Linked DNA regions of Xenopus tropicalis. The protein of the gene in region 1 interacts with the protein of each later gene in a pairwise test. Links are inferred from orthologs where the notes say so. Each region holds a gene or a part of one and is shown on either strand. Other genes may lie near its edges.

Region 1 (5,012 bases):
AAGCGCTCACACATGCTGCGCCATGCTCCTGCTAGGAGACGCACTGTGGTTATAGGCTGCAGCGTTACGGCGATAAAAACGAGACATTTGTTCTGGCAAGAGCAGTGTAGTATGAAGCAGGCATTGGTATTCTGAGACAATTTGCAGTTGGTCTTCTTTTTTGTGTGTTTTATGAATATTTTTCATATTTTGTAACTATTGGACAAAGGCCCGCCCCAGTAGTGATGTGTGGGCCGGCCTGAAACACCCCTGGTGGGTTGGGGCTGACACTTGCACACTATTGGCGGGTCGACGGTGAGTTTGGACTCAGCTTTCCCTTTTGCCCTCCCTGCCCACAATCTTCTGCACCTGGAAGCCTCTATTTATGCCCACGGCCCTTGGCCCATCCACAAAATGTCGACCCACACATCACTACCCCCCAGTATGGCCCCCTGCCAGAAGATGTGCTGTGCGCTTGCTCTCACCTTCAGGTCTTGGTGGGTACGGGTGGTGACTCCGGCAGGGGGGTGAATTTAGGGGGCCCTACTGGGGGGGCAGGCCCAGATGCAATCACAACTGCTGCTCCCTCAGCAGTTACGCTGGCAGCTGGTAGGTTTGGAGTTTTAACAGCTATGTAGTTGCTAGGGCTTAAATACCCTAGTAACCAGGCAAATGTTAGGAAGCAAAGGTCCCTATACACGTTAAGATTCACCAAGCGAGTGGATCTTCCCCCGATATCCGATAAGCTGTCGAATCGGTCCAAGGGACCCATATCGGCAGCTACAATCGGCCTGTGTATGGGGACGTTTAGACTGGAAGATAATTAGTAGAGTGCCTGAAATCAGATATAAGCAATAAAAAACAACCATAAAAGGAAAACCTTACAATCTGTTTTTTGGTTGCCAGGGTCCGTTACCCCAAAGCAACCATGTAGCATTTTTAGACCAATGTGCAGTAGTGTGCATGCATATACAAAGCGGGGACCAGCTTATACAACATATTGAGGTGTAGAAAAACTTAAGGGGTAATTTATGTATCTCCTGGGCAGAAGTGCAAGAGCACTAAGGGGGGCAAAAGTGTGACCCTTTCTGTGCACCCACACACACAAATAGGGAGTTAGAGGGAATGCTGAGCCCTGACCCAGCTCCTGCTGATCCAATACACCAGAACCCCCTTCCCTTCTCCTAATATACAGGTACCAGCAACCCTTACTTTCTAATAAACCAACATCAGCACCGGTACCTTCAGGCATCAGCACGTGAGCTCTTACTATAGTGTCAGAACACACACCTCTGGGCTCGTAACATACACAATTGCCCTGAGCATCTCCCAACATGTTCATCACAATCCTCGACCTTCAGTAAAAAAATGTCTTCTGGTGCCCAAAAGCATTTGGTGGGTCCAAAAAATTAGTAAACTGTGCTTTTAGATTCTTTGCACTATATTGTGTGTGTTCTGGCTTCCAAATTTGTGTGCACAGCTTAGAGGGGACACTCTTTGGGGGGGCAATAGGTATTCTACCTCAATGGCTTTCAGGCTGGGCCCCTTCCAACACTTGCTCTGAGCCCACAGTTTGGTTGGGGGGGGGGGACACAGTAGTTGGCAGCCGCCATCAAGGTGAATTACTGTGCTTGGGAATGGCACATGGGGTGATTGCAAATGTATTGCTGCCCCTGAGATTTCCAGCAATTGCCCTTCCGTTGCCCGGAATAATAACTGCCCTTGGACCCCACTCGCAGGTCAGACAGTTATCACTTGGAATTGCTCAGTTGGCATTTCTGAGCAATAATTGTCTGATTTTGGGGCAGGTTTCAGAAGACCATCCAGGTCAATGGAGAGGCAATTATGTGTGTTTTGGGGGGAGAGCTTGCAATCACCCCTTGTGCCATTGCCCAGAGATGCAACTGAATGGTACCCTGTATACTATACCCCTTACCAAGCTATCTAGCAGGTTCTTTACCCAGAGTTGCTTTTGGTTATAGCAGGGGTCCCCAAACTTTCTTACTCGGGAGCCACAGTCACATGTAAAAAGACTTGGGGGGCAACACAAGCACCATAAAAGTTTATGGAGGTGCCAAATAAGGGCTGTGATTGGCTATTAGGGGCCTCTATGCACCCTATCAGCTTACAGGGGCTTTATTTGGTAGTAAATCTTGTTTTTATTCAACCAACTTTGGAATTCAAAAATAACTCCCTGGTTTGGGGGCACTGAGAGCAACACCCAAGGGGTTGGGGAGCAACATGTTGCCCCGAGAGATCACTGGGTTATAGTGATATATAATATAGGTTTATTATAGTACAGAAAGCATCACAGGTAGGAAAACACTGTACTTTGCAGAAACAAAAGTCACTGTTTTACCCTACAGAGCAGAGCAAACAGGGGGCACAATGTGCCCACCCATCCGGTAAAGGTACCCATACACGGGCCGATATGGGTCCCTTGGACCGATTTGGCAGCTTATTGGCCCGTGTAGGGGTAGAAACGATGGCCATGCCTGACCGATATCTAGCCAAGCCAAGCGAGCGGATCTTAAAGTGTATGGCCACCTTAACACCAATCTTCTAGAGATAACCCCAATGAAATCCTTCTATGCAGTTGGTCAAGGGCAATTAGCATCTCTGTCGCACTAATCATTTTTCACACTGGGCCATTAAGGCTATAGAGCACCTTTATTTAATTCTAGTCTCATTAATATTGCTGAGGTTCCAATGGCTGCGTATACAGGAATGCTTTACCTGCGTCCCCTACTGTTGCACCCGAATACTTGCGTCAGTTGTAGCGCAACCAAAGCTGGAGTGACTCAGATTGGACTGAAATCGCAGCCGATGAACTCCCTACTATATAAAGGTCACCCCCGATTCCCTCCAAACTCTTCCCCGGACGCGCTGTAAGTACATGGGCAGAACCTTACGCTGCGACCCGCACCCTCCTTACCTTCCTCGGCGGCGCGTCCCCTCAGTAGGAGCAGCAGGGCGCAGAGCCCCCAGAGCCATGGCCGTAACCCCATAGTGTCAGTGCCCCCGCAGTGCCATGCCAGCCCCCCTGCTGCCAGCCGGCCCCCCTGCCTGATTCTCTGCTCCGGGAAAGAAGTTCTCAGTTGCCTGTGTAGCTGCCCCGCTTCATTCCTACACAGGCACTTCCTGCAGGGAGGGGGCACAGGGGAGGGAGAGGCGGAGGGCTGGACACAGACACTTATAGGAGTGGCACTCACTTCTACTCCCTGCTCTCTCTGCTTAACTCACCCCTGTGGGGCTCAAACGTCTCTAGATGGTAAGCTCTTGGGCTCACAGCTGCTAAATCTACCCTCCCCCCCACTTCCCTAGAATATAGTCATACCCCCTAGGCTGTAGGCTCCTAGCATTCCTGGCAAGTAGTGACTGGCAGCTCTGGATAAGCAATAGATGCCCACCTACACAATTCCTTATTCACACTCACCTACATACCTTGGTCTTTTTTTTTATTGAAACCCATGTATGTATTAGGGTGAAGACACACTGAGCTACTAGTAGCAGCTACTTTTTCACAGCTACTAAACCCCAGAAAATCCCCTGCCATAGACAATACTGAGAATTGCCTCTGCTAAACACACATAGAGACAACTATCAGTAAATGATCAGCATTGTCTATTTTAGTAGCCACGACAAGTAGCTGCTACTAGTATCTCTGTGTGTCTTCACCCTTATAAATAACCTAGTGCAAAAAAGTGCATGGTGCACAAGTGCAAATGTGCAATGAAAAGGAAGAGCCCAAAACCTGACCAACCGGCCAGAATTTTCAGGTTCTTGCCTTTTGTCCAAGGACTAGAGAGAACCCCTTTATCTCTGACCCCCCAAGCTAGAAGGCCGGCAGGGGCGAGGGTCTTCAGGTTCCCTTCACAGCAGGGCTAGGGTTACCCCTTTATCCTCACCCTCCATCCAGAAAGCCTATAAGGCAGTGCTGGGCCCATTCATACCTGCTTGTCAGCGCCACCCCCTCTAGCCTAGGGCAGCAAACATGGTGGAGAATAGATCCCCAGGAGCTACAAATTAGGGGTCCCCTTTCCATTGCACCCTAGGCACATGCCTGTTCTGCCTACCCCTAGTTGAGGCCCTGCTATAAGAGCTCCATTGACCCCCAAGAGAATCTTCAGTCTTGTATGTTTATGGTGGGGCCAGGTTTTAAGGGAAAGGAGCCGAATGGCCACACATTATCCCCCTCAAGCCAGCGTGCAGATCCATAAGTGTATATTGCGCTAGATTGTAAAAAATGGATAGATCCAGATCGTAGGTTGCACTAGATCATAGAAGAAAAAACACAAAAATAAAAGCTCAGTAACAAAACAAATGTCTCAATATTGGCCGGATTTTAAAAAATTTCCTTGCCATTGGCCAAAAGGCTGGGGCATAAAAGTGAAAGCAAGTAAAGTGCACTATGTGCAGGGGAAATGTTGCTCACCCTGAGGTGGGCTTTTCCATGCTGCCCCCTTGCTTCCCGTGCTTTGGTGCAGGTGGGGGGGTTGCATTACTAGTGCAGTGGTCACAATAGCACTGTCTGTATTAGAAGAGCTGAAATTCCAACTGAAAAATCAGAATTTTGGCTCTTTAAGTGTTTTTTTTCCACCCCCGGTAACTTGTTGGGTGCCGCTGCCTGAGGAGAGTTTCTCCCTTTATGGCAGTGGCACCCCTGGCTACGTGGCCGTTACAGTGTCCCTCCCCACTGTGGGTTGGGGCATCCTAGGGTTTTCAAGCCTGGGGCACAAACATGCTTGGGCATCAAGCTGCCAGCCCTTTGTAATGATACCAGCTTCATAATGATACCAGGTAATACAACACTTGATATTAGCCAAAACCAGGGGTGGGCTAAGCCGACCAGGGCACCCTAGGCAACCCGGATGGCCACATCGCCCCCAGCTGGAGGGGAACCTTGCCCCCAGTGGGGGCAATAACAAGGGAGTGTGGACTAAGGGTAGGCAGGAGAGGTACCTACCTGGCACCCCCCCACTTCCATCGTTGCTCCCTAGGAAAGTGCCTTTTCTGCCTGCCCCTAGTTCCGG
Region 2 (4,992 bases), on another chromosome or scaffold:
CATGTAGATTAAAGGAAAACTGTACCCCCAGAATTATTAAATAGTTCAAAAAAAAAAAAAAAGGTGATGGGTTAAAAAAGCGTTATTATATATAGCCCTTTTACATCCTTTCCCTTCATCCACCATTTAGTGATGGGCTGTGTGCTCCCTCAGAGATCAGAGGTAGCGTGGGAGCAAAAGGCAGGACTCAGTCCATTCATTGGCTGATGGGACCTAGCATGTATGTGTGCCTTGGCTTGTTTGTGTGCACTGTGAATCCTATGATCCCAGGGGGCGGCCCTTAATTCATAAAATGGCAGTTTTTAGTTTAGGATTACCCAGTAGCACATACTACAAAAAAGTAAGTTAAGTTATGAAAACTTGCACAAAGCAGGGTTTTTATGTACAAGCTTGTTCACACTATTTTTAGAGAGACCTACATTGTTTGGGGGGGGTATAATTTCCATTAAGGTCACTCATACAGGGTGAGGGGGGAGACAGTTTGCTTTAGGCTCTATGTCCCAAGCTGAATAAGCCCCACTGCACTTACCATCAGTCCCTCCAGGATGCCAAAGTTGTCATTGATGACCTTTGCAAGAGGAGCCAGGCAGTTGGTTGTGCAGGATGCGTTGCTGCGGGCAAAGCAGGGGAAAAGGTAAACTAAGCATCACTCCCTTATTCCATCAGAGTAAAGAGGCCAGCCCATATAGGGAGGACACATTACTGCTTGTATTTGGGGCAAGGCCCTGTAAAGGCAGGCCCAGGGCTGGGAAGGCAGAGCCACTTTGCCAGTTGAAGCTAGCCAGCTTATGTAGAACAGTAATTGCCTGTGAGACTTACAGCATTAACATTCCTGAGCTAAAGAAAGTGGCAGAGAATGGGCAGCCTACATCAATGCCTGCCTACAGAGGCCTAAGCACTAGCCAATTACTGAGAGGTTCCATCAAGTACAGAATGGTTTGGCCAAGCAGCAAACCTAGAACAGGCTGCAATTTTATTATGGGCAGTAGAGGGAGCCCCTGCCTGATCAGTATTTGTATAGACAAATATCCTGATAAAAAAAGGTTTAAGGATTTACAGCCTTCAGGCTTAGAGTTTTACATGGTTGTTATAGTAAACAAGCCCTTATTAGATTACAGAAGCTGCAAACCATGAGCTATTGAGAACTAAAGAGTTAACCCAGTAATACAGAAGCTTGCAGACAGCCTGTAGCATTGTGGTAGTTCGCTCCCCCTTTAAAGGAACGCCCATTTTTACCCCACACTTACCTGACAACGTGAAGAGAGTTATCATATTTGTCATGGTTCACCCCAACAACAAACATGGGGGCATCAGCTGAGGGGGCAGAGATAATGACACGCTTGGCACCTCCCTTCAAGTGCAACTGCAGGTAAAAATTAAAAAAAAAAAAGTCCAGGGTGAATTCTAGATATAGAAAGCCAAATGTTATGGGGGGGGGGGGTGTAACTACTTACACCGGCCTTCTCTTTGGTTGTGAAGACTCCAGTAGATTCCACCACATACACTGCACCAGCATCGCCCCACTTAATGTTGGAGGGGTCACGCCTGGGGAGAGGAGAGAACTGTAAACATCCCCCCTGTGATTAGATTCTGCTGCAGGAACCCAGTCTAGAACCAGGCCAGGACTGAGCCACAACCTCACTTACTCTTGGAAGACGGTGACTGCCTTGCCATTGATAACCAGCTTGCCATTCTCAACACACACTGTTCCCTTGAATCGGCCGTGGGTGGAGTCATATTTGAACATGTAAGCCTGCGGAGAGTGGGAGGGGTTAATTCCCGAGCATTTTATACTCCAGAACACAAAAATGCAGATGAACGGAGCCACCTACCATGTAGTCCAAGTCAATGAAGGGGTCATTGATTGCAACGACTTCACATTTGCCGCTTAAAACAGCAGCGCGGGTCACCAGGCGCCCGATGCGGCCAAATCTTAAAAAGAAAAAATGATTTCTATCGTTAGATGTTTATGCGCTTAACCCCTTGTGCCACTGGCAAGCAGTAAGAAGATAAAGCCTTGCATCATAAGTGATGCGACGTCACAGCTAGATGTTAAAGGGGAAGTTTAGCCAATGCACTGAAACCACAATGCAACAGCTTAGTCCTTTGATCCCTATATGTTAAACTACAATTCCCATAACCCTCCATAGAATCAAGGCATGCTGGTTCCCCTCATTGGTTGGCTTGGGGAACCCCCAAGCCAACCAATGTTTGTCCACAGTGCACTGGCAATTGCCGACTCTTGCTGGGCAGTGTTGCCTGGTGCAATTGGTTGATCAGCATAGAAGTAATGGGGTGCACTGCTACCCCCTCTTTTTAAGCAGTTAGGGTGGGAAGGGCACCCTACATAGCTGTCATTATAGTGAATAGCAATAAACAGGGGCCAGTTACATAGAGAATACAGAGACCTAGATCAAATGGATCCCACTATTCTAAATGGCACAAGGGGGGGGCACATGATTTAGGCAATCTGTCACTAAGAAATATGCAAACTTAATGTACTTTGGTTTACTTGCCCTTTAAAAAAAAGGTCTGTGCCGCCATTAGCACAACACCTGCTGACACAGAAATCTCCACTGACCCAGACTCAGTTGAGCCAGCCTGGGGGGGGGGGGGCAGTTTATCCAAGCACTGCTCACGCAGCACAACCTGAATAATGGCTGTTATTACAAGCAATAATCAGTCTGCCTGCCACTGCCCTGTTATTACAGGCAATAATCACACAGCCTGCCTGTTGCGACTCCTGACACTGCCCTGCATGCTTCGAGGCACAATACGAGTGACTGGCTGCACATTCAGGGCTGAACTTTGCTCGGGGTGAAGTTCAACAGTGAAGTTCAGCGACGCGTAATGAGGACAAACAGGAGGGTGTGTAGTAAGGCTGAGAGATGAGTGGCCAGAGTGACGGGAGCAGCCTCCATTGTGGGGCAGTACTGGATCCGAGTCCTGGCAGAGACGTGCAGGGCAGAATGATAATGTCCCTGGCGTGGGTTACAGCAGCTGGCATCAACACCTCTATTAATAGGAGCCCTACTTAGCCATGCCAGGGGGGGGCATCTTAGTGTCCCACTTTAATGAGAGAAGTCTCTAGAAGGTTCACGAGAGCCCAGTCAGACTCTGTGCTGTGAGGATTATGGTCACTAACCAGAATAAAACAGCCAGGGGACTGTGCCTACGTGCGGCTGCCACCAGGGAGCAGGACGTGACTCAGCTTCCCCACACTTGTGCAATTACTCCTTATTCTGCAGCAGCGAGGGGAGGGGATTCACCCAAGGTGCCGTGCATCAGCCCCCCAGGTACAGCTCATCAATAGGACACTGACAGTGCAAGGGTGACCCTGGCCCAGGATACACTGTGACCTTGGGGTTGTCCTTGAGAGACATCAGCAGCCAGACACTGGGGACACCCCCATGCGCATTACTGTACCCCCCTCCTGGCAGAAGGTGGAGCAATGGGGAGCCGCAGCGGATGGAGAGGAGGGGTTGGGGTGTGAGGTGGGGAGCAGTGACTCAGTGGGACGTGAGGAAGCTTCACACTCCGCATGGTTCTGGCAGGGGAGGGGTTAAGGAGCAGCAGCCATTTTGAAAGAATAATCGGCCTGGACCATTAACCATTTATGAAAGGTCTGTAGCTTCATTACTTATAACCCCTCAACTGCCAGAGCCAAGGGGCATCTTACACTGGCCAATCGCTAAACCGTGCAGAGAACACTATCCCATCGGCCTTTAATCTGCCAAGCCATTAACCCCCCCCCAGCTGTTTGTCTGGGTCCATTACCCCCTTATACCCCAGCATCTCCCCCCACTCACCTGCATATTACCCCCTTAAGCCCCAGCACCCACCCCCAATGAAGTTATTAACCCCTTAACTTACCCATTGATTCCAATCTTGACAGTCATTTTGGTGTCACTTGGTTTAGTTATCAACCCCTAAAGGCAAGAAAGGAAATTAGTGGGGGGGGGGGGAACAAGAGGAGGGTACCCCGTGCCCAAGTCACTCTCCATCCCATCTATTGGGCACATCCACCCACCCCTCTGTGCCCCCAACAACCTACCTTTAATATTAACCCCCACACCACTGCACCTTGAATTGGTCCCCCTGCAGCTAAATCCCACCCAAAGGCACCCATATAGCCCATACCCACCCACTAGAGGGCAGGAAGTGCCCCATTTCACCCAGTGTCCAACCCAAATCATTAATACACAGACTCCTGATTACCCAAGGTTCCCACTTCCCTATATCTACCAGAACCCCATTACTCATCCCACCCTAAAGCCTCCCCAATCTAAGCACAGGCAGCCCTTACACCATCCCATCCTTAGCCACTAATACAGTAACCCCATTACTCACAAACACACTACATTGGAAAAGTACCAGTAGCACAGAACTACAACTCCCATCACTGTCAGTTGACACCGACATTAGTACCTTTAGCAACTGCAAACGAAACCCCCTAGGAGAGCATATAGTAGGAGCTATACCCAAGCCTACCCTGCCGAGCCACACCCCCAACCTAGGCTCCACTCCTCCCGCACTCACCTCTCGTTTCTGTGCCCTGTTGCAGAGTGACGAACGGATTGCCAGTGCGCCTTTATATACCCGGCAAAGCGGGACAATGTAACCCCGCCCACCAACAATCAGTGACAAATCGTGGCGTGAGCAGATAGAGCGCCCCGCCCCCTCAGCCTGACACCGTTAGAATGCCTACGTGCTGTTCCCGTAACCCTTGTAAAAGAAGCGCATCCGCCTCCCAGTCATTCTTGTTATTTCTGTTTTCAGGGAGGCACGTCCCCCCTCCACCTGTACATTATGGATGATCCCCACAGTCTCCTCTCAATGACACAGCTCCATCTTTATTCTCTCCTGTTCATACAGTGTCGGTTTAATGCTACCCCAGTGATGGGGCTGTGTGCAACGCTCACTCCCTACCCATGTTGTTGAGCTATAAGTCCTAGATGCTAAAACATTACAAAATGCAGAGAGTTGTAGTGT

What was found. The genes of interacting proteins can lie anywhere in the genome.
Region 2: the proteins of erbb2 (region 1) and gapdh interact in a protein complementation assay, tested with the Homo sapiens proteins (2 studies listed by BioGRID and IntAct, with this or other methods). The link is inferred for Xenopus tropicalis from reciprocal best matches to the Homo sapiens genes ERBB2 and GAPDH.

Annotation. Positions count from the first base shown.
Region 1 is NC_030686.2:9,878,321-9,883,332, forward strand, and holds the start of erbb2 (receptor tyrosine-protein kinase erbB-2), read right to left. Parts: upstream 3,144-5,012; 5' UTR 2,988-3,143; coding exon 2,915-2,987; intron 1-2,914. UniProt on the Homo sapiens protein: Protein tyrosine kinase that is part of several cell surface receptor complexes, but that apparently needs a coreceptor for ligand binding. Essential component of a neuregulin-receptor complex, although neuregulins do not interact with it alone.
Region 2 is NC_030683.2:10,005,641-10,010,632, reverse strand, and holds the start of gapdh (glyceraldehyde-3-phosphate dehydrogenase), read right to left. Parts: upstream 3,119-4,992; 5' UTR 3,071-3,118; intron 1,933-3,070; coding exon of another isoform or gene 1,836-1,932; coding exon 1,833-1,835; intron 1,754-1,832; coding exon 1,647-1,753; intron 1,546-1,646; coding exon 1,455-1,545; intron 1,364-1,454; coding exon 1,248-1,363; intron 612-1,247; coding exon 530-611; intron 1-529. UniProt on the Homo sapiens protein: Has both glyceraldehyde-3-phosphate dehydrogenase and nitrosylase activities, thereby playing a role in glycolysis and nuclear functions, respectively.